Arabidopsis thaliana: one gene and its partners. The protein of the gene in region 1 interacts with the protein of each later gene in a pairwise test. Each region holds a gene or a part of one and is shown in the gene's direction. Other genes may lie near its edges.

Region 1 (7,844 bases):
AGCTTTTACGTTTTGAAGGAGAAGATGATGATGAATCGAAAAAGAGCCTGCTTTTGGCAGATGAAGCAACCGGATCTTCAGATCTGCGACGAGATCCAGCGGCTTGACGAATTTCTTTCACTGATAAAGCCACAGATCGGTTTCTCGATCTACTAAGCATGTTCTCAAGTGGTTTTTCCGGCGTAGGCAATGCTACAGAAGACGGATTTGGATTCCCGGTTTGAGATTTCGAAGACGGCGAATCCATCACCAATCGTTTCTTCGATTTGAATGGAATGGATCTAGAAGAGCCTGGTGTACTCATTTTTATCAACAATGTCTATAGAGTGTCAGATGCAGAGAGGAGATAGTGGAGGAGATAGATGAAGACGATGAAGACGACGGAAGAAGAAGAAGGGTTTAGATTTATTTAGGTCTTTGGCGCGCAATCCTACGTGTACCAAAGCCACGTATACCTCCCGCGCCTATTAACCCGTTGCTTCCCGCGAAAACACTTATCTACGAAGAAGCCCATTAATTAGGCCCATTATGAATTGCTGTCTCTGAACGAATCTAATAGATGCAAACCAAAGAGACCAGATTTCTTTTTTTCAACTTGTGATTTTTTTTATATGAACATGATTTATATAAGGTCGTCGTGCAATGTTTATGCTGCTTGTTCAGTATTTATAGTTTTTTTGAAAAATCAAAGATAATCTCATCATAAGGAATCTTATCAACAGTAAAATATTAAGATAAAACAGTTAGCCCAGCAAATCAAATATAATCAATGGTTTAGTTTATGTTTTCTATGTTTCTCTTTCTAAACTTTGAATATATTTACCACATCCTTATTTTAAATCATAGAATTAAACAGTTTTTAAATGATTATGATATTTTTTCTATTGTCATTTCTAATATTTTACTAACAAAACTTTAATTTTATTTGTCTATTAAATGTTATATTTTTCCGGTATTGTTATTTCTGTATATACTTGAACTTTTTCTTATTAAGGTTCGTCGTTTCCATTTTATTTTATATTATATTTGCTAATGAGGAAATCTATATAAAATCATGAAATAAATATTGATTATTAAAAGAAAACACATAAATATTAAACATTGAATATTACCACATCCCTATTCTAAATCAAAGAATTCAATAAATTTTCAATGATTATGAGATTCTTTTCAATTGTCATTACTACTATTTTCTTACTAACAAAACTTCAACTTTTCTTTTTATTAAATGTTATACTTTCCGATATTATTATTTCTCTATATACTCTTATTTAAATTTGTTGTTTTATGTCAATATATGAAGTTTTGATGATTATAATAATAAATACCAATTTTTATTTCTTTTATCGGTTTATCGTCTAGTTGACAAAAAAAAATATAATGCCGTTATAAAATAATTATAACTTTCATGAGTTTTTATTTTTGATTAACATTTAAAAAATTAAAGGAGCTAGATGTATCAATTTGTATTATATTATGCTCTGAGACTAAATATTGATCTTGATACCAAGAATCTGATCTAGATCCAAAATTTATGTCAACTGACTCACTATCATATTTTCAAAACTCAATTTTAAAGTTAGTAATATAATGTACATCTTAACTATTGTTTTTTTGGGTCTGTTTAGAATCTGGGCCGGTGCCCACTCAAAACAATCGGCCCATTATACAAGTTGTTAAAATAAAATTCAATATATCACATTAAAGAAAAATTACAATTTTTTGGCTTCAAGACTTTTTTTTTTGTGTGTGCAAAGACTTTTTTGGATTCAAGCTAATAAATGTTAGATTACCTTTTTAACCAAAGATCAAAGTAAAACCAAAATCATAGAAGAGGAAGAGAACTCGTGATCACGTTTCTTTGGTTAAGTAATGTTGTATAGAAGAGAAGAGAAGAGAAGAGGAAGAAGAAAAGCCCAAATCGAAAATTGAAAACTAGTACTCCAAACTCCAAAGCATCAATATTTTATCACTCCTCTTTTCTTCCACGCAAACCCAATTCTCTTCGTCTTCTTCTTTTGCTTTTCTCCCCTAAATTCGTCGATCAAATTCTTGTCTTTTCAACTTCTTCATCGAATTTTCCATTGCCCATAGCCTCTGTATTTGATTCCTCCTTCTCTAAAGCTTCGGATATTAAGACAATTATATCTTCCTAGCTGCTTATAGACCTTCGCTTTCTAATTGCTGTTCCTTTCGTGGGTCTCTGGTAAGTTTTGATTTTCTCATCTGCTGTTATCGAGAAAGGTTGATTTTTTTTGATTAATCGCACTGTGATTTAAGGTTGGAGGAGATTATAGTGTTAGCTTAAGGGTTTTTGAGGTTTCAATTTAGAATCGTATTGCTCCTGATCATTTCCCTGTTAAAAGTAGATAAACCCCTTGTTCTATTGGGAAGGAATTCGCCGTTTTTGCTTCGTCTTCTTGTGAAAAATAGAGTTGGTTTTAGGTAATTGACTTTGATCAAGGTCTATTGGTTGTGCAAAGGTTGCGTGAATCTTGTGTCAGCCTCTTGATTGAGTATAGATTACTTCGTCTTCGCTTTCTCTGCACCATCAATTGTCATCAGAGTGCTAGGCATTTAGTGCATTGTCCAAAGATTCTGCTTGTGCATGAATGCTATTGTTGAAAAAGAAAGGAAGTGTTTGAAATCGAATAGTCTTTTGAGTGTCAAGCAAAGGATAGGTGGGTCTGGTTTATATCCATCATGGTGGAAAACAGATATAGAAACATTTCTTTAGCAGGTTATGCCACGAGTTCCGTATCCTTGGTTTGTCTTTCTGCGTTTAAGGATTTGATTTGCCTTAGTGTCTCATTGGTTAGTATATTCATTGTATGTGCTTCTAGCTTGAACATTTTAGTGGCACTTTTTTGTTTGCATACATAAATTATCTCTGTCATTAGGTGATTTGCATTGTGGATGCTTTATGTTATTCATGTTTGATGCAGGATTTGTAGTTGCATTCTCATTGCGCACTACACTTTCTTCAAATTTCCGCGTGGTAAGCAGGGAATGGACCGGCTGTTTTGGCCAATCGTCTGTGTTTACAAATGATGAGCAGTGGGCATAAGGGTCCAAATGTACGTAACTTTTTTAAATGGCAACGTGGTGAATCATCATCGTCTTTGACTACTGGATTGCTTCATAATGAGTCACACGAGATTGAGCTATCTAACTACGGAGGAATACCAAGTCCTGGTAGTGAGAGCCCATCGGGACTTCTTAATGGAGAGAGTTTAAATGTTCAACCAATTGCTGATTTGGATCTTTTTGTCGAAAGGCTCTACAGCTACTACAGAGACAAAGGACTTTGGTGTATTATAGTAAAGTGGGCTGTTGAGCTTCTAAGTCTGGGCTTCATCATATGCTTCTCTGGGTTTTTCTTGCTGTATGTTGATTGGAATGGTCTTCAGAATGCAAAATGTGGAATGGATGCAGTTGAATCAGGAACTAAACCATGTGATCTTGTCAAAGAAGCTATCCATCCGCATCCTTTATCCCCTTTCACGCTCACAACTGCTATAATTGTTGGATATTTGGCCCTCTTCTCTGTGTACTGGCTCTTCTGCTTCTTAAGGTTTTTTGCCCAGTTGAAAGATACTTTGGACTTTCGGCACTTTTATTACAACAAGTAAGTTGGAAGTTGCAACATGCTATGAATAGTTATTGCTAGAGCAAAACATGCATTTTAGGTCATAATTGATTTTCTTTCTTTTTGTTGTAAATTTGCAGTCTCCATGTCACAGACAATGAAATCCTTACTATGCCATGGGCAACAGTCCTTGAGAAGGTTGTTCAGTTACAAAGCTCACAATGCCTTTGTGTGGTTAAGGATCTTTCTGCTCATGATATGGTTATGCGCCTTATGCGGAAAGAAAACTACTTGATTGGAATGCTCAACAAAGGTTTGCTTTCTTTCCCAATTTCCCATTGGATCCCTGGTGCTGGTCCAGCAGTCAAATCCGCACCAGATGGGACACAGTATCACCTTGTATTGACAAAGACCCTTGAGTGGACCCTTAACTGGTGCATATTGCAGAGCATGTTTGACTGGTATGCTATTCTCCACGCTAATCTTTGATCTAATCTGAAAACTGCTTTCTAATAACATTGTAGATATAGGATTTTATGAACTGCTATAGTGATAAATGGAGAGTTTGTGATGCATATGGAAGTTTCAGTTTTGATGATTTGCTTTTTCTTGGTCAGATTGTAGTGATCTTTTCAAGTTAATAAGATTGTCCTGTTAGAGGTTTTCTCCCTGTATATATATTACGTCAGTGAAAAATTGCGTAAGTTAATAAGATTGTCCTGTTAGAACCTACATGGGAGTGGCCGAAGTGCGTGTATGTTATATTTCATATTCGTAGTTAACTACTAGTACTACGGTGAAGAGTAAGGCCATAGAATGAAAAATTCCTTGCACATGCTAAGAATTGTCCGTTTTGTCTAATTCAGGCGTTTTCATTCTGCAGCAATTTTCGTGTTAGAAGGGACTTTGTTTCAAATCCTACAACACTGAAGAAACGACTATTTGTGGTTGGGCTTGCTATGCTTCTGCTGTCACCGTTTCTTGTCATCTTTATGTTGGTGTATTTATTCCTAAGGCATGCTGAACAGTTCTACAATCATCCAAGTACTGCATCTTCTCGAAGATGGTCCAATTTGTCAAAGTGGCTCTTCAGGGAATTCAATGAGGTAGTTGCCTTCATCTGGCGTCCATGCCCACAAAAGTCGTGTGAACGGAGTTTAATTCTGATTTCTTAGTAAACCTTTGAAATTTTCCGACTCTCTCCATTCAAAATAAATGTGATGCCTTTTCTAAACTTCTTGTTTCTACAACAGGTTGACCATTTATTCAAGCATCGGATTAATAGCAGTGTAGTACATGCATCCGAATATCTAAAGCAATTTCCCTCGCCTATCATCTCCATTATTGCAAAGTTTGTCTCGTTTGTTTCTGGCGGCTTTGCTGCTGTCTTAATCATCATTGCGTTTCTTGAAGAATCTCTACTTGAGGGACATGTAAGAAATACTAACAACGCAAAAAGCATTTGATAGATAAATTATTTGGGTATTGAAGTTTCTTTTACCACCTGTGTAGATATTCGGCCGCAATCTGTTCTGGTATGCCGCTGTTTTTGGAACAATTACAGCTATTAGTAGAGCTGCCATATCGGATGAACTTTTGGTCCTCGACCCAGTAGGAACTATGTCTTTGGTGGTCCAAAACACTCATTATATGCCTAAGAGATGGCGTGGAAAGGAGAACAAGGATGATGTCCGCTTGGAGTTAGAGACTCTGTTTCAGGTACCATGTTAACTTATTAACTTCTTTTTTTACAAACAGTTTGTTTAAGCTAAAGATCAATATTTAGTCACTGCCATCTTTCATGTAAATTTTCTGAATGTTTTCTATTTGACACTGTCAAGATAACTGCATACAGTCTTATTTTCCATAATACGCTGAATAGTGAATGCCAAATTTATGCTTACACCTATTTTTACTTAATTAGCTTCATAATGTAATGAATTTAAGCAGCAAGATGAGCTACTTACAGGGTACAATAGGATGTTCTGCTAACTTTTTGGGTTCTTTTTATGATATTCCTTCTTGGTCTCTACTACTTTCTGAATGAATTTATATAAATGATGCTAATGAAAATTTCTGCACCTCAGTATACTGGAATGATGCTATTGGAGGAGATAGCTTCAATCTTCATCACACCATTTTTGCTGATGTTTGTCGTGCCAAAGGTATATTTCTCTCACATTCGCGTTAGTGTACCCCACGTCAAAATTGAGAATATACAATGATTGTGGTCTCACACATTTTGAGTTCACTTTCCAGCGGGTGGATGACATCTTGCAATTCATTAAGGATTTCACAGTTGATATTGAAGGTGTAGGCCATGTTTGCAGGTAAACAACTCTTCTAGTCATATCCTGTCCAGAAATTGTTTTAAAGAAATTTACAATAAGGATTACATTATGATCATTGGCCGTTTCGCTTGCAGCTTTAGTGCTTTCTACTTTGAGAACCATGGAAATATCAAATATGGTTCACCACATAATGCAACTCGTCGTGAGCAGAGAAGCTCACAAGGGAAAATGGAGAAATCATTCTTGAGGTTTGAGGCATTTCATTGTCTGTTTTTTTCTCTGCAACATATGAATTCTCTTGGAATATATGCAAATCAGTGTTAAGTGTTACATTTTATTTGCAGTTTCCAGAGTAGTTATCCTTCTTGGGAGTCAGATTCTCTTGGGAAGCAGTTTCTGTCAAATCTCAGAACTTTCCGGGACCGAAAGCTTCATGAAATAAACACAAGACACTCATCTCCTAGTAGGGCGTGGCGAGAAAGCACTAATACCCCTGCTTTATACAGAGACATTCCAAGAAATCCGCTTGCGAGCGGCAATCACACTGATTCAATGTGGCTGATTGATCCAGATCAGAGGAATCATCCTTATCTTCTTGACTGGTATTACACTTCTCAGGCTCACAACAGAACTGATCACCCAATAGAGAGAGCAAATGAAATCTTAACCGCAAATCAGAACGCTACAGATTGTTGGCCTCCTGATTTGGGAATCCGTGGTGAAGATAGCAGAGATCTGCTCAACATGGAGGCAAGCACATCAGGTCAGTTTTTCAGAGAGAGCATTCTGCGCCATGACCAACCCGAGGGAGAGGATAGTTATGGGAGTCAGCATCCTCTTGATGGTAGGAACCAGTGGTGGGGAAGAGGCAACCACTCTCAGATCAGCACAGCTCATCCCGCAACCACCAATAGCTTCATCGAGCCACCTGATTTTATAAACCGCTACACAGCAGGAAACTTATTAGACAACTCTTGGAGCAGAAGAAGCATAGAAGAAGAAGATGAAGAAGAAGAAGAATTGGATTGGGAAGAGAATGCAAGAAGAAATTTGTCGAGAACTACATTCATGGACGATAACGATATCGAAGCTGGGATTGATCTCCATTTCGACGATGTATATAGTTCAAGACCTCAAGAAACTTCAACATCAAGCACCACATTACGGTGACAACAATGAATTTTTTTGATTCAAAGTTGTTTCTTTGTTCAGTCTTTTTTATGGTGGATGAAGAAGGAAGATAAAAGAGATGCTTTTGTAGAAAGTGTTCTCTGTATTTGGAAAAAAAAATGTGGGAATAATAACAAGTCTCTCCTCTTTTTTTTTTTTTCTTTGGTTATGTTTCATCCTAACAATACATGCAATTCTTTATTGTTGTGTATATAAAATAGGTCCTTAAAAATGGTGTTTTTCAATCGTGTTTAAGAGCTTTATCGGCGTAAGAAAGAACCTTTTTCAGGATCCTCACCTCACCTGATACAGAGCAGATAAACCTAGCTCGTTATCTTCGAAAGACAATTCCATCTCCTTGAACAAACGGAACACTTCATCAGTGGTCTCTGCGGAATCGAAAGCCTCTTTGAGATGATCTTTTCCTGATATAACGGATAATCTCAAGATTAAGAGCTCAGTGTTTGACCACACCGAATTGCTTGACTTGCATTCCACGCCAAGAACACCACGTTAAGGTGATCCTTCGGTGAAGTAGGAATCCTGTTTCGAGACTGAAACGAGAAAGGACCAAGATGCAAATATTTTCTACTAAAACGATAAAGGACCAAGATGCAAATATTTCTTCTTACTTTTTTTTTTTTTTTGCTTTTTACATTTCAAAATAAACCTGAGAATGCCTATTACATTTTCTTAAAATCCCTCTTCACCCGATCCCTCTTTCTTTGTCTCTGTCTCGAGATTGCTAGTAAACTCAAAAAGCTATGGCGGTTTCTAATGCCTCTGTTGTTCTT
Region 2 (5,727 bases), on another chromosome or scaffold:
CTAGCAGACCAGAACAAGACTGTTGCGAGCACGCCACCGGCGTCTTCCGTCGCCGGAGGAGAAGAATCCGATAAAGTGGAGCTGGTTACGGAGGATTGGAGACTCAGCCAGTTCTGGTACGAACCTGAAACTGCAGAGACTGTAGCAGATGAAGTGGTCACTCTCTCTCAAAGAATTCCAGGCTGCAGAGTCGCTTGCATTGCTTGCCCTACTCTCTACGTTTATCTCAAGGTACTATTAATCAGTTTTGTTCAGTACCCTTAATTTGTATCGAATCCGTTTTGCTAAAAATCGATACTTTTGTTGTCGTTGATGCTAAATTTCTGTGCGACGGGTTTTGATTTGTGCTGAGTCAGAAAAGAGATCCTAGTCTTCAGGTGCAATTGCTGGAGTACGATATGAGATTCGAGAGATATGGAAAAGAGTTCACTTTCTATGATTACAACGAACCAGAAGATCTGCCGCTTCAGCTGAAACATTGCTTCCATATAATCGTTGCAGATCCTCCCTACTTGGTAAAGTTTCTTCAAGTTCTTAACTTTTCCGATGCTGTTCTTTCATGGGAATTTTGGAAATCTTTTAGCTGCCCCTTGATAGATAGGTTTAGAGACTGATGTGTAATCTGCTCTGAACTTCTGACATTCAAGAAGCTTCTGCTAGATAGGCATTGCTTATAAATTAATCTTCTTTTAAAAGATTATAGAAAGTCCAAAAGCAGACAAGATGAAAGAAAAAAAGTGTAAGCTTTACAATGGAGTATCAGTTGGTTATGGTCATGGCTTAGTGTCACTTCTTAAAGATGGATACTTTGTGGCTCTCTGCTGCGTTTTGATTATCATTTGAAATATTTCCCGGGTAGGAGTATTTGTGACTTGTGAGGATATCATTAATCTGTGATGTTTTTGTGTGCTATATTGCTTGCTATCTTCAAAGCATAAATGTCTTTGAGTACCTTCTAGTTAGCGTGTTAATGATCTTGATTCGTTTATGCTTGGCAGAGTAGGGAATGCCTGGAAAGAGTTAGTCAAACAATTTTGTTCCTCGCAAGCCCAGTAGATTCATTGTTGCTTCTTCTCACAGGTACAATGGGTACTTTTGTTTTCTCAAGTCAAATTTATATGATCTTATGATTTATTAACTAGGAGATATCTCACGTCTTGCAGGAGAGGTGCAAAGAGAACATGCAGCTGAGCTATTGGGTGTTCGCCCTTGTGTGTTTAAGCCTCATCACTCTAGCAAACTCGGAAACGAGTTCCGACTGTTTATAAGTTATGATCCAGGTACCAGATTAGGAGGCTTGGAAGAAGACAGCTAGTTGTGACTTGCTTGTAAGTTGCTTCTCTAAAGTCTTTTGACTGTTCTTGAGTAAACCAGTGATTGTTCTTTTACCCTTCTGATCACAAAAAGCAATGTGCTTAAATCCATCTCACGCGTTCACGTCATCCCCTTTTGCTGTTCATGTAGTTGCTGTTAATTTCTTATGACGATGCGCCTTAACCAATCTCAGGTGTCTGGCATTTCAAGCCCTTATCCTCTAGCAGCGGAGGAACATTTGTGGCAGGGAACACTCATCGGCTCATGTGTGTTGGATATTTTTCATCAATGTTCTCTTGGTGACCTCACTTTGTTCAATCGTTCTCTGTATCTTGTTGCAACCGCAGATCTCAAGTCTGATATACTTTTACATTATTATCAAAATCTCAACATATTTACCAAAATGATTTATTGCATCATGAATCAACATGACATACGGAATTAGCTCATCACAAAAAATTATTCAATCCGTTGCAACTTTATAATTTGCGAGGAAGAGATGAAATATTGATGTTTGCTCTCAGCGAATAAAAAGTTTTTGGTCCGACCCGGTTCTACAAACTTTACCAGAATCAAAGTGCTAAACCGGGCGAAGAAGTTAAGATCTCGAGAAGAGTCTTTTACGGTGGGAGAGAAACGAGAGTTGTTCGTCTTCTTCCATGGTCATTGAAATTCAAACACACGCAAGCATCAGAGAAGAGGACTGATTCGCGACTTCGATTATGAGGCCGAACATTGTTACCGAGGTGAGATCTGTTCAATTTTCTGCTCTGATTGCTTATATTCCTTGATCTTAGTCAGAAATTGTTGAGGTTTTAGCTTGTTTAATTACCGAGAAACTCCTAGTGAGAACGAGCTATGGCTGATAGCAGAAATCAGTACGACCGTCTCTTAATTCGGTAGAGTTAACTAATTAGCAGTTCAATTCGGCATAACTTCAGTTTCATGGCCAATCGTTCGTTGTAGAAAGTAGAAACATTCTCTTCATAAAATAGGTTATAGCAGCCTCTGTTTGTGTTGTTTCATTAGTTCTTCAAGTTTTAGGTATAATAATACAATTTCACCATTCTATTATACAACTGTGACTCTGGATCATACTTTTGTTTGAAGATTTCTGAAATTATTCATAAGGTTGAATATTATTAGAAGGTTTCTATGTCCAACCAAGTAGATAATCGGCACAATGTTTAGATATAAGCCTATAAACTGGTAAAGGTCTTGTTTCTGGTTAGTTATGTATTCTTTATTTTCTCATAGGCTGGGGTTCAAACTCGAGTTGGACAGTGGTGGAATGCCATACCTTTCCTCACGTCATCGGTGGTGGTAGTTTGTGGGGTCATTTACCTGATATGCCTCTTAACTGGATATGACACTTTTTATGAAGTATGCTTCTTACCCTCGGCAATCATATCGAGGTTCCAAGGTATGTTCTCATATTTATTGAGGCTTGCATGTCATGTAGAAGATATTCCTATTGGCACTAAAACTTACATTTCCAAAGTTATTTCGTCTTGCAAACTGGTAATTTTAAATTCAGATGCCTGAGCTGTCCTGATTTTTTTTGTTTCCTCTTGTTCACTCGTTTCTCGTTATCTGTGCAGTTTATAGGTTTTATACAGCCATTATTTTCCATGGATCACTGCTTCATGTTCTGTTCAACATGATGGCATTGGTTCCTATGGGCTCTGAGCTGGAGAGAATCATGGGATCTGTCCGTTTGCTTTACCTAACAGTTTTGCTGGCAACGACCAATGCCGTATTGCATCTTCTTATAGCATCCTTGGCGGGATATAATCCCTTCTACCAATATGATCATCTCATGAATGAATGCGCCATTGGATTTTCTGGAATCTTGTTTTCTATGATTGTCATAGAGACAAGTCTCAGTGGAGTTACCTCTAGAAGGTAAGAATTTTCAAGGGCTACTTAAATGATTTAGACTCTGGAAGATCAAAGTGCAAGTAAATATGAGCTTCTTGTTAGAATTCAGATACATTCTCTCCAAACATGTTAATGCTACACATGTCTGTACACATATTAATAAGATATGCGTTTAATGTCCTCTGAATGTGGGCTATTTTTTGCCAACTCTTTGTATTCATGAAGCATCTCATATTTCTTCATTTGCTACTTTATTTCTCTGTGCAGTGTGTTTGGTCTCTTCAACGTTCCCGCTAAACTGTAAGCTCCATTGTCTTGCTTGTTGGCATCTTAATGCCCACCTGCATTTCTTGTTGCTCATATGATGTAAAAGTTTGTATCCATGTGTAGGTATCCGTGGATCTTACTAATAGTATTCCAGCTTCTCATGACAAATGTTTCACTGCTTGGGCATCTATGCGGCATCCTGTCTGGATTTTCATGTATGATTATTGACCTTTTTCATTGTCATCTTCTTTCTAAACCTGCATTTTCATGGGGAGCTAATTTGTTAGTCGCTTTGGATTTCAGATTCTTATGGCCTCTTCAATTTCTTGATGCCTGGCTCTTCATTTTTTACCACCATTGAGTCAGCCTCCTGGATGGTAAGTACTAAGTACTTAAGAAGATCTGGCTTCTTGATGTTTCCTTTTCTTTGTTAATTGAGAGGCCATCGAGGATTTAAAACTCATGCAGATCTGGCTTCTTGATGTTGCTCTCTGAGTTAATCGTAACTCATCCAGTTTCTATGTCCTCTTCCAGTCTAGCTTCATTAGGCGACCCAAGTTCATTATGTGTACTGGCGGGAATCCTTCCAGCTATATTCCCACTTATTCTGCACAAAACACAACATCCAGGTGTGGTTTCCTAAGAACATATGAAAAACTGGACTGTTTGCCCAGAGAATATCCTAACGACATTTTTTCTTTGACCAGTGGTTTCTCTACAGGAAATGCTTGGAGATCCTTGTCTTCATGGTTGCCACAGAGGGAAGCATCTAATCAGGTACGTTCATGCTAATCTTGTTAGTTTCTTTTCTTTACCATGGTGGATGCATTCACATCTAACCATATTACTTCACATGCAGTCTTCTGAGGACAGTAGATTTCCGGGGAGAGGTAGAACTCTTAGCACTGCCCGAGATCCTACTGCTCCAGCTGGAGAAACAGACCCAAACCTCCATGCTAGACTGCTGGAAGATAGCAGCTCTCCAGACCGCCTTTCTGATGCAACTGTCAACACCGTGGCAGATTCAAGGTATTTGATTTCTTCAGCTTATGATTTATCAGCTTATTACGCCATTCTTCAACCTCACCCTCATGTCTCACCGTGTGTAGACAAGCGCCAATAGCTAATGCAGCAGTCCTGCCCCAATCCCAGGTTACTTTTCTTCTCTAAGATATTCGGCTCAGACCCAGACCCTTGTACAGCTTCTAGAAGCTTTTCTCTTATTGAGCTGTTAAAACACAGGGTCGTGTTGCTGCTTCCGAAGAACAAATCCAGAAACTCGTAGCCATGGGCTTTGACAGGGTACGTTTCTTGCTTCATACCAACGTTAACTAAAACAATAGTAAATAGATGGCTTAAAGTCTCTGGATTTTCTTCAGACACAAGTGGAAGTGGCGCTTGCTGCTGCCGACGATGATCTCACCGTAGCAGTGGAGATCCTAATGAGCCAACAGGTATAAACTTTTCCGAACTAGAGTTCTATTAACTCATTTTTAGAGTTTAGGCACTACTAACAACGAAACCACTGTGATCAAACTTGCAGGCTTAACACCAACAACTCGCAAAGTACTGTTTTGGCTTGTATTGTAACGTTTGTTTCTCATTCTGTCTTTTACTTGCATTTAGAAACTGTATAGCGTCTGTTTTCTTTAAGGAGGTTCTTTAACCAGACGATCAAACCGATTTTCCGGTTTAGAATCTAATACAAACGAAAGATCAGTTGAAATTTTCTTTTTTTGCAAAATCTCTCTACGTAGAACTTTACTTTGCAAAAGTAAACTTGTTTATTGGCGGCACACTTTTTTTTCTTCTCTACGGAGTACAAACGGAATGAAACAGAAGCTATTATAACATGGTTTCCTTCCTCACTTGCTCTTGTGTTCCTTCGTGTTACTAGTTGAGGTTTCTCTAGGCGGTCGCACAATGAGAATTGGACATTTTGCATGTTGGGCACAGTAGTCACTTACACTCCCTAAAAATGCCCTGTATATCTCAAACACCAGGAATGAATGAATAGTCACAACCAGAAATCTCAATTTGTTGTTAGACCTTAGACCAAAAATGAAACTTGTACCTTTTGATCATGCCGAGTCCACGGCTACCAACAACAAGAAGATCAACATGTGTTTGCTCGACGGCTTGGCATATCATCTCCTTAGGATCTCCTTCCAATATCATAGTCTCTGTCTTCACCTACAACATAAAACCATAAACTCAAGAGACAGAGAAGATCACTGATAAACCTAAACTCTTATGAAACCTTGA
Region 3 (4,485 bases), on another chromosome or scaffold:
CCAACTACCTAAACCTTTGGAGATATACACATACGTACACTGAAAGAGGTTTATTGATCACAAGTCAGGCAAATAAGAAGGACGAAGATAAAGAGAGAGCCAAGGCTGCAAATGTTGCTGTTCGTGCAGCCGTTGGAGGAGATGATAGGTTTTCAAAATGGAAACTTATGGCTGAAGCACGTCAGAGATCTTCTCCAGGGCCAGGAAGAAACTCCAAGAAACTTTCTGGTAAGATTGGTAATCCCGTTTCTATGATCTGAAAGAGTAAATCTCTCAGTTCTGTTGCTGGTTATTCTTGTGTTTCGTGCTCCTAATTGCATATTCGAACTTTATGTAGGTGGTACACAATTTGGGAAGAACCAAGGTTTACCAAAAGTAGTCCGGTCAATCTCTGTGAAGGATGTGATCGCTGTGGTGGAAAAGGAGCCTCAGATGTCAAGATCGACGCTATTGTATCGCGTATACAATAGAATCTGCTCGGATGTTTGAAACCAAGAAAAGACATAGGACCAATTCTTTATTTTTTTTTGTAGAAAGGTTCTTATTCCATTAAAACTAATGCCATTACAAACTCCTAAACATGATCAAGATGCTAAAGTACATCCTTATTTCTTCTTCCTTTCACTACCTAAAGCAAGCTGCATGTTTTTTCTAGTTTTTGCCTGATCCCTTCGTGCTGACTCCGCCGTGTCCATATCCTCCTCCACCACCACCGCCTCCGCTGCATGAACCTCCGCATCCTCCACCACCACCGCCAATGATGACTCCACCACCAATACCTCCTCCACCACCAATACCTCCTCCACCTGACCCGTATCCTGGACCACCACCTCCGTTGCCTCCATCCCAACCCAAACCACCACCTGAACCATACCCGGCACCTCCACCAAATCCACCACCGATTACAACACCACCACCGCCGCCACCTGGACCGTATCCACCACCACCATATCCCGGGCCTCCACCGCCGTAGCCACCAGCTGTGAGTTCACCCTTAAATCCGGTTACGTGTCGGATACTCTTTCCAATCTCACTGGAGTGTGCTTCATTCCTCATGAGCTTACTCTCTCTTCCAATCTCACTCGAGCGTGCTTTATTCCTCATGGACGCACTTTCTCTTCCAATCTCAGTGGAGTGTTTTTCATTCCTCATGAGCTTACTTTCTCTTCCAATCCCACTGGAGTGTGCTTCCTTCCTCATGGAGGCACCTTCTCTTGCAGCCTCGGCAATCATATGACCGATGAGACAAAGATACGAGGAAACAAGAAACCACAAGATCACTCTAGCCATGATGGCTGCTTAGTGACACAATTTGTTTGCTTAGAATCTGAAAAAGGAAGTAAAAGGACTTGTGTGTTTGAATAATACACAGCCACAAACACACACCACTATTTATATATCTTGGGACATAATACAACGGTGATGGTTGGCATGGGCGTGCCAGTAGAGAGAGAGAGAGGTGCATATATGGTGACTCACCAGAAAGGTGTAACAGGTGATGGTTCTCATTCGCATGATTTTTCCCACACTTTTTGCTGCATTTTTTCATTATTATTCATTTTGCAGTCTCAAGTTTTTTCTTAAATAAAAGAAAACAAGGAGTGACTCGTGTACCAATCCATTGATCTGATTTGAACATATTGGTTATCACACATATGTTCCAGAGGAAACAATGAATTATGAAACTGTAATAAAATGATTATAACATGAATAAAATTGATAGATAAGTCATAAGTAATCAAAAGTAGGATCATGGCATATTTTTTTCCTTTAATCATACTTTCGATTACTAGTTCTTTTGGTAATTATGCTGTCATAAATAAAGCGTTAACCAAAATGAAGAGAATTAGAGATTATGGACCGGTTTATTGAGAACCACATTGAATAAACCAAACATTAATAGTACTAATTTTCGCACGTGTGTGTAACGAAAGGCCGTAATTTGGCTAATCGATGAACGAACGTTCCCTCTCTTCTCTGAAATCTTTCTCGATCCATCCATCTTCTCCATTTTCCTCCATTTCTGGGTTTCTTCTCATCTTCCAAGGATTAGGAAATTAGTTTGTTTTTTTTCATCTGCTCAAGTGATGACGACGAGTTTGGATCGGTGGGAGAAAGATCCTTTCTTTCCCGCTGCTGAAGAAGTTCAGGAATCTGCCGACAGGTTTGCGTTTTTCGGATCCTCATCTCCCAATTTTCGTTTTGAATCTGTGATACCATAAACTCTCATTGTTGGTGATGCAATGTCGACGATTCGATTCGTGTTGCTTCGGATTTGGGATTACGATTTCTGATTAATCAAATCAAGTCTTAGATCTGAAATCTCACAATGTGTGTTGTTATCTTCGATTCATGTGTAGGATGGAGTCAGCGTACAGGACATGGCTCAATGGGAAACGAGACTCTTCAAAAGTATGGGACTCTGAGCAGCTTCATAGAGATCTTCACGCAGCTCTTGGAACCACCAAATGGCAGGTTTCTTTCTTTCCTCAGAACTCAGATTCTTAATCTGTAATGTTGATTTATGAAACCTGTAATATTTTTGGTGTAGTTAGATGAATTCCAAAAAGCTGTCAAATCTAGCTATGACAATCGTTTGAGTGATGAAACTAGAGATAGGCATCGTGAGTTTACTTTCGTAATGGAAGCTCAAGTGTCGAAAATCGAGAAATCTCTCAAGGAAGCTGCGCAATCCGATGGGAAAGGAACACCGAGATGGGTTCGTTTGGATGAAGATGATCGTAATGAGCTTGCTCTCTTCTTGACTGGTCCATCTGAATCTGCTAAAGCAAATCCTAATGGACATAGAAGGACTGCAAGTGCTGCTGAATTCAGTGCTTGGAACATTGCGGTTTCTGATGATGGTTTAGTGAAGAAATCTTGTGATGAGCCAGTGGTTCGACCTCCGAGGAAAGTACCTAGCTTCTCTGGATTCTTGAATTATATGGATCCTGTGTCCAAGCATTGCAATAGAAAGTGGAAGGGTTTAGATCGTCAAGGAGACTCTGATGCTGCTTTATTACCTATCCAAGCTAACCAAGTAAGTTTGATCGATCGATCTCCAACCGCAAGATTTTTGCCTCCTGCTTTGAAAATCTTTGCTAAGAAATGCTTTTTATTTTTTTGTTTCTCAGCAAGATATGAATGGATGTTCAGAGAGGGGCAAGAGTTGTATGGAGTGTGAGGAGGACTGTTATGAAAAGCAGCTTCATGGTTGGTATGGAGCTCTACAGAGGCAACTCCAACGGTCTCAGTATCGAATGCGATATAGTAAATCGGTTCACGCTGCAATTTGGATTATTCTTTTAGTTTTTCTTATTGGTAAGATTTACTGAACTCTGAATCATTTATGTTTAGAACGCAAAGCTTACTGCATCACTTTTGAGTTTTGAGATAAATTGTTTTTTTTTCTGATTGCAGTGGTAGTTGCAGTGCATTCAATGTAGAAGAGAGGTTTGGAATAGCAAGGTTCGAGTTCATTCATCTTCTGTGTAACAGCGAAAGAGACGAATTTGGCAATCCACATTTTTACTGTACAGTAAATTCCAACTGTTTTTGGTTGTTTGTAATATAGAAATGCATTTTTTTGGTTCGATTATTTGAAACGGGTTTCATTGAGCAATCATTGTTTTCTTAGGCACCAATCCTATTAACCATTGTAGAATTATTTGGGACTAAACCCAAGATTGAAGTGGAACCTTCTAAAAATGACAATTCAGAATACAGAAATGCATTTCGTATTGGATTATTTGAAGTAACCGTTTCATTGAGAAATAAGAAAAGGTGTCAGAATTCTTTTACAATCAATCCGAGCAGAGTATTGAAGCACACGACTGCTTAAGTGGAGTTTTTGGACATGTTAGCCACCACCTCCTCCCGTTTATCGGCAGTCTCTAACTCGATGCCTTGAAATGTAAGTCTAGATGAACGATAGTGACTCCCAAACGCAGTCCCGAAACCCCACCCGAGGCCCAAACCCACCCCGCAACCGCCACCTTTGTCAAATACCAGACGCATAAGTTACGTAATTAGAATTTAGGAAAAACCTGCTCGGTGTGTATCTATGCGAGTGTGGGATATTTGAAGTAGAAGTTTGAAATGCTTACCAGCACCAACACCTAAGATGTTCATAGGCATTCCTGCATGAAAGCAACGGAAATCTCCAATTCAGTAGGTTTGCAAAATAGTATGAATCCATCAAAATGTAAGCGCAACTGATACTAGCTATGCGTTTAAGCAACCATTAGCTAGGAAAGAAGAAGCATTTGAGTAAAGATGATATGTAGGAGTTGATAATCTCTATAAGAGACATTAAGCAATATGATCACAAAACTAAACAAGCACAGCAGAGTGCATTGCACATCCCATAGCAACTAGCAAGAGAATTGTTCCAATAGAATTATCTTGTAATTCAGTCCAGATTTTGTTCAAGTAAAAGCAGAAAAAGAGAGAAGTTGAGAACGAACCTCCAAAACCCCATCCAAC
Region 4 (3,279 bases), on another chromosome or scaffold:
CAGCCATACCAACAACAACCAGAGCTGAGAATCCACCAGCACGAACAGCTATCTGCATTAAATCCATCACTTAGTATTTGGCCATGTGTACAGGAATTCCTATTAATACTAAAAAACAAACCTGCAATGCTTCCCTTGCGGATCGTCTAGCAGCACTGGAAACCCGTACATTAGCACGAACTGACACCCACATTCCAACATATCCAGCAATACCTGAACATAGCGCACCCAAAAGAAATGCAGCAACAGTAATGTATGCAGACATTGTCCTGAAGCACAAAGTTATACATTTGAGTTTTATTTATAACAACACAAAAGATAAAAGAAAAGATTCTGTAGAAGATGTATGATCACCTTCCTAAACCAGAAGCCTCTTGCTGGGGGGTTAAGTTACGGAACAAGTATATGCAAAGGATCACAAAAGCTAGCAAGAACGCCATTTTGGATATAGTACCATACTGCGTTCTTAAAAATCCTTCAGCTCCATCACGTATAGCATCTGATATCTAAACAGAAAAGAATAAGCTCATAGCACAGAACTGAAAATGCAACTGAGTAACAAAGAAGACACAATCACGAATAGAACAAATTAAAACTTGTGTGAAATTACCTGAACCATTTCTGGAGGTCCTTCATCTTTGGCTAATACCCACTTGGTCAGGTATACTGACAACATGAAACTGATGATGCATACTACAAAGACGAACACAATGATGGGAGAAGTACGTGCTCCCATGTAAAAGATCCCTCCAAAGCTCAAAAGCAGAAGTACAGAAAGGGCACGAACATTTAAATTTCTCAGAATGCGGATTATCTGCACAAAACAACTCATTATAAAGATACCAAAAGAAATAGAAATAAAACCAGATATAACACCAATACATATTTGTATAAATATGACGGTGTTTAGATGCAAGAAAGATATGCTCGAGAGAGAAGGGTATTATGTCCTAACCAATGGACTGTAAGTTTTACTACGCATATCCGGGAAGGTCCTTGGCTTGTCACTGTAAGAAACCAGAGTGGCCTGCTCAACATCTTCATCCATCATCATGTTTTGTAACGAATTTGCCCTCCGAACAAGGGGAAGAGGTATAAAACCCGTGCTACGGGGCAGCTCAGCCCCAGAACTTGGACGCTGAATCTTGATACGCTACAAAAGACCCTCCAAAGGTTTACCACAGCATAACAAGAGAACTAATCGTAACCCACAAAGTCTGACTATATCTTGATCAGCTTCTTCACACTTTCTCACTCGGTATTGACTCCGAGAGAAACACCTCCCATATATAGTTTTCAGCATAAGAGAAGATTCTGAAATAAAACTGACAAGAATTAAGCCCCGGAAAATTTCTCTGTATTAATCGGACACCATGAAATTCTACTGTAAGATTTAGCTAGACTTATCGAACACCAACATTTTGTAGATAAACCAATCAGATCTAAATTCTCACTATCATGATCTAAACGAAAACGAAAACGTAAACGACAGAGAATTAGCGAAATTGTAGGCAAAATAACAGATACGAATAATATTTGTTTCCGAAATGCGAGTAAGAAAACCCCTAAATCGGCGAAACAGTGAAGACAAATTACAGTTTCAGAGAATGGTCAGAAGAAAACCGCCATCAACTCGAAGCTTGTCGTCCTAGCCGAAGAAGCGTTCTCCACTCTCTCTGTCTGTTGTCACCGTAAATCCTAACACTTCAGAGGTTAGTTTACACTCTTTTGTTAATTTATTTCTCATGCCGGGTTAATTGGACAATCCTGACTAATGAGTTTTTGACACGTCATCACAAGGAGCATTTTTTCTTAATAAGCCCCACTTAATAATATAGATTTTAATAATTTCCTCCTAAGTATTGTTTTTAGGCGCATTAGGCAATATTGTTGTTATGCTATCATTTTACCATATTAAAGGAGATTACTAGTTTCACAGTATTCGTGGGCCCAAGCCCAACAGACAGTCCATGAAGAAAAATTACCCAAAGTTGATTTTTAAAATATAAATAAAATCAAATAATTATCTTCCGTCTCATCTTCCAACCCAGGAGCTGTACTTTAGAAAATTTCCCAGATAAGAGATTCAAATTCTGTACTTGTATACCCGGCGGAGCAGAAGATGAAGCAACCGGCGACACCAAACGCGGCGGAGGAAACCAAATCAGAACAAAAGCAGAAATCGAAGAAATTCCCAACTCCGACGGAACTAATCTCTCACTACCAGAAACGAGGGCTGGAACCAGCAGAAGCTTCAATAAAGGTCATCGAAGATTTACAAAACGCGCTCGTCCGAGTAGTTTCGTCCTCCAGAAACGCCTCGAGCAAGGATAAGCTTGTAACCGACGCGAGGAAAATCGACGCCATTAACGGGAGGCTTGCCGTCGTCGACGCGAAGCTGGAGACGAAACCTGGATACGTTGAGACTTTCGCGTTAGGGTTAGCTTCTGGTGCGACACTTAACGGAATTAGCGCCGTTTGGCCTCACGTTACCAGAGGCATTGGTCAAATTTGGTCCGCCGTTAGGATCGGGACGGATCCTTCATCTACCTCTTGAATTGTTAGAAAGGAAAATTCTAGGTTGATATGGTTTCTTATGAGTTTTTTTCCGGTGTTGTATTTAGTGAAATTTGAGTATCAGCGACTTCAATCTTTGTACTGTTGAACAATAATCTCATTAGAAAATTATCCCAATTAATTTTGCTCTAAAACAAAGAAAAGACAATTTGTTAAACAGTTTTTATCATAATGGCATGATAATATATACACAGCAAAATAAAATTTCATAGCAGGCAACTTTCAACAAAATATTGCAATTTGAGTTGCCAACACTAAGTTAGCCAAAATTTTCTCCTAGTGCTAGTTTCAGAGTTAGAACATGAGAGAACCTATGATGAATGACGCCAGAGGAAACTATAAAACTTACCCATGAAACCGGAAATTAACAACTGGTTCACGATTGTGGGAAATAACCTTTGTGAAATCAGTTGTTTGTTTGTTATCTTTGTTAACTGTTGTTCTTGGTTGACTCTGCAAATAAGAAGAGTGTAAGTGAAATTCAACATTAAGACATACTAATTTACAATTGCATATCAGCTTCTGAGGAAGAACATAAAGAGGTTCGATATGTAATGAAATCTTACCTTTGATCGCCTTAGGTGGTCTTGTATGACTGCCGGCGGTTGAACCTGGGGACAATGGTCGCTTTGGAGGTTTAGGCTTATGTGAAGGAATCAGAGACGAATTGAGAATGGCAGCAACAGCTTCACGCTGCTGCTT

The links.
Region 2: the proteins of APG9 (region 1) and RBL15 interact in a two-hybrid assay, tested with the Arabidopsis thaliana proteins (one large-scale study listed by BioGRID).
Region 3: the proteins of APG9 (region 1) and AT1G27700 interact in a two-hybrid assay, tested with the Arabidopsis thaliana proteins (one large-scale study listed by BioGRID).
Region 4: the proteins of APG9 (region 1) and AT1G16790 interact in a two-hybrid assay, tested with the Arabidopsis thaliana proteins (one large-scale study listed by BioGRID).

What each region holds. Positions count from the first base shown.
Region 1 is NC_003071.7:13,321,497-13,329,340, reverse strand, and holds APG9 (autophagy 9 (APG9)), read left to right. Parts: upstream 1-1,844; 5' UTR 1,845-2,206; intron 2,207-2,945; 5' UTR 2,946-3,047; coding exon 3,048-3,628; intron 3,629-3,729; coding exon 3,730-4,050; intron 4,051-4,472; coding exon 4,473-4,695; intron 4,696-4,842; coding exon 4,843-5,022; intron 5,023-5,101; coding exon 5,102-5,308; intron 5,309-5,676; coding exon 5,677-5,754; intron 5,755-5,848; coding exon 5,849-5,919; intron 5,920-6,014; coding exon 6,015-6,128; intron 6,129-6,224; coding exon 6,225-7,050; 3' UTR 7,051-7,291; coding exon of another isoform or gene 7,292-7,353; 3' UTR 7,354-7,373; coding exon of another isoform or gene 7,374-7,404; 3' UTR 7,405-7,508; downstream 7,509-7,844. Other genes in the region: CDT1A (CDT1-like protein A), read right to left, coding at 1-304; AT2G31265 (uncharacterized protein), read right to left, coding at 7,292-7,353, 7,374-7,404; HEMA3 (Glutamyl-tRNA reductase family protein), read left to right, coding at 7,815-7,844. UniProt on the Arabidopsis thaliana protein: Phospholipid scramblase involved in autophagy by mediating autophagosomal membrane expansion. Cycles between the preautophagosomal structure/phagophore assembly site (PAS) and the cytoplasmic vesicle pool and supplies membrane for the growing autophagosome.
Region 2 is NC_003074.8:21,622,658-21,628,384, reverse strand, and holds RBL15 (RHOMBOID-like protein 15), read left to right. Parts: upstream 1-1,683; 5' UTR 1,684-1,742; coding exon 1,743-1,784; exon of another isoform or gene 1,785-1,912; coding exon 1,913-1,963; exon of another isoform or gene 1,964-2,036; coding exon of another isoform or gene 2,037-2,060; intron 2,061-2,571; coding exon 2,572-2,737; intron 2,738-2,915; coding exon 2,916-3,219; intron 3,220-3,462; coding exon 3,463-3,495; intron 3,496-3,585; coding exon 3,586-3,677; intron 3,678-3,765; coding exon 3,766-3,839; intron 3,840-3,996; coding exon 3,997-4,091; intron 4,092-4,169; coding exon 4,170-4,239; intron 4,240-4,321; coding exon 4,322-4,491; intron 4,492-4,571; coding exon 4,572-4,614; intron 4,615-4,704; coding exon 4,705-4,764; intron 4,765-4,841; coding exon 4,842-4,916; intron 4,917-5,005; coding exon 5,006-5,011; 3' UTR 5,012-5,183; downstream 5,184-5,727. Other genes in the region: AT3G58470 (nucleic acid binding / methyltransferase), read left to right, coding at 1-231, 357-515, 999-1,080, 1,164-1,315; AT3G58450 (Adenine nucleotide alpha hydrolases-like superfamily protein), read right to left, coding at 5,328-5,445, 5,537-5,655. UniProt on the Arabidopsis thaliana protein: Probable rhomboid-type serine protease that catalyzes intramembrane proteolysis. May function in senescence.
Region 3 is NC_003070.9:9,639,355-9,643,839, reverse strand, and holds AT1G27700 (Syntaxin/t-SNARE family protein), read left to right. Parts: upstream 1-1,937; 5' UTR 1,938-2,087; coding exon 2,088-2,164; intron 2,165-2,360; coding exon 2,361-2,475; intron 2,476-2,551; coding exon 2,552-3,040; intron 3,041-3,134; coding exon 3,135-3,321; intron 3,322-3,420; coding exon 3,421-3,446; 3' UTR 3,447-3,837; downstream 3,838-4,485. Other genes in the region: TAF4B (TBP-associated factor 4B), read left to right, coding at 69-228, 338-489; AT1G27710 (Glycine-rich protein family), read right to left, coding at 652-1,290; AT1G27695 (glycine-rich protein), read right to left, coding at 3,838-3,995, 4,107-4,139, 4,467-4,485.
Region 4 is NC_003070.9:5,742,516-5,745,794, forward strand, and holds AT1G16790 (ribosomal protein-like protein), read left to right. Parts: upstream 1-1,819; 5' UTR 1,820-2,122; coding exon 2,123-2,557; 3' UTR 2,558-2,744; downstream 2,745-3,279. Other genes in the region: VHP2;2 (Inorganic H pyrophosphatase family protein), read right to left, coding at 1-52, 122-269, 355-506, 611-814, 956-1,054; AT1G16800 (P-loop containing nucleoside triphosphate hydrolases superfamily protein), read right to left, coding at 3,008-3,030, 3,144-3,279.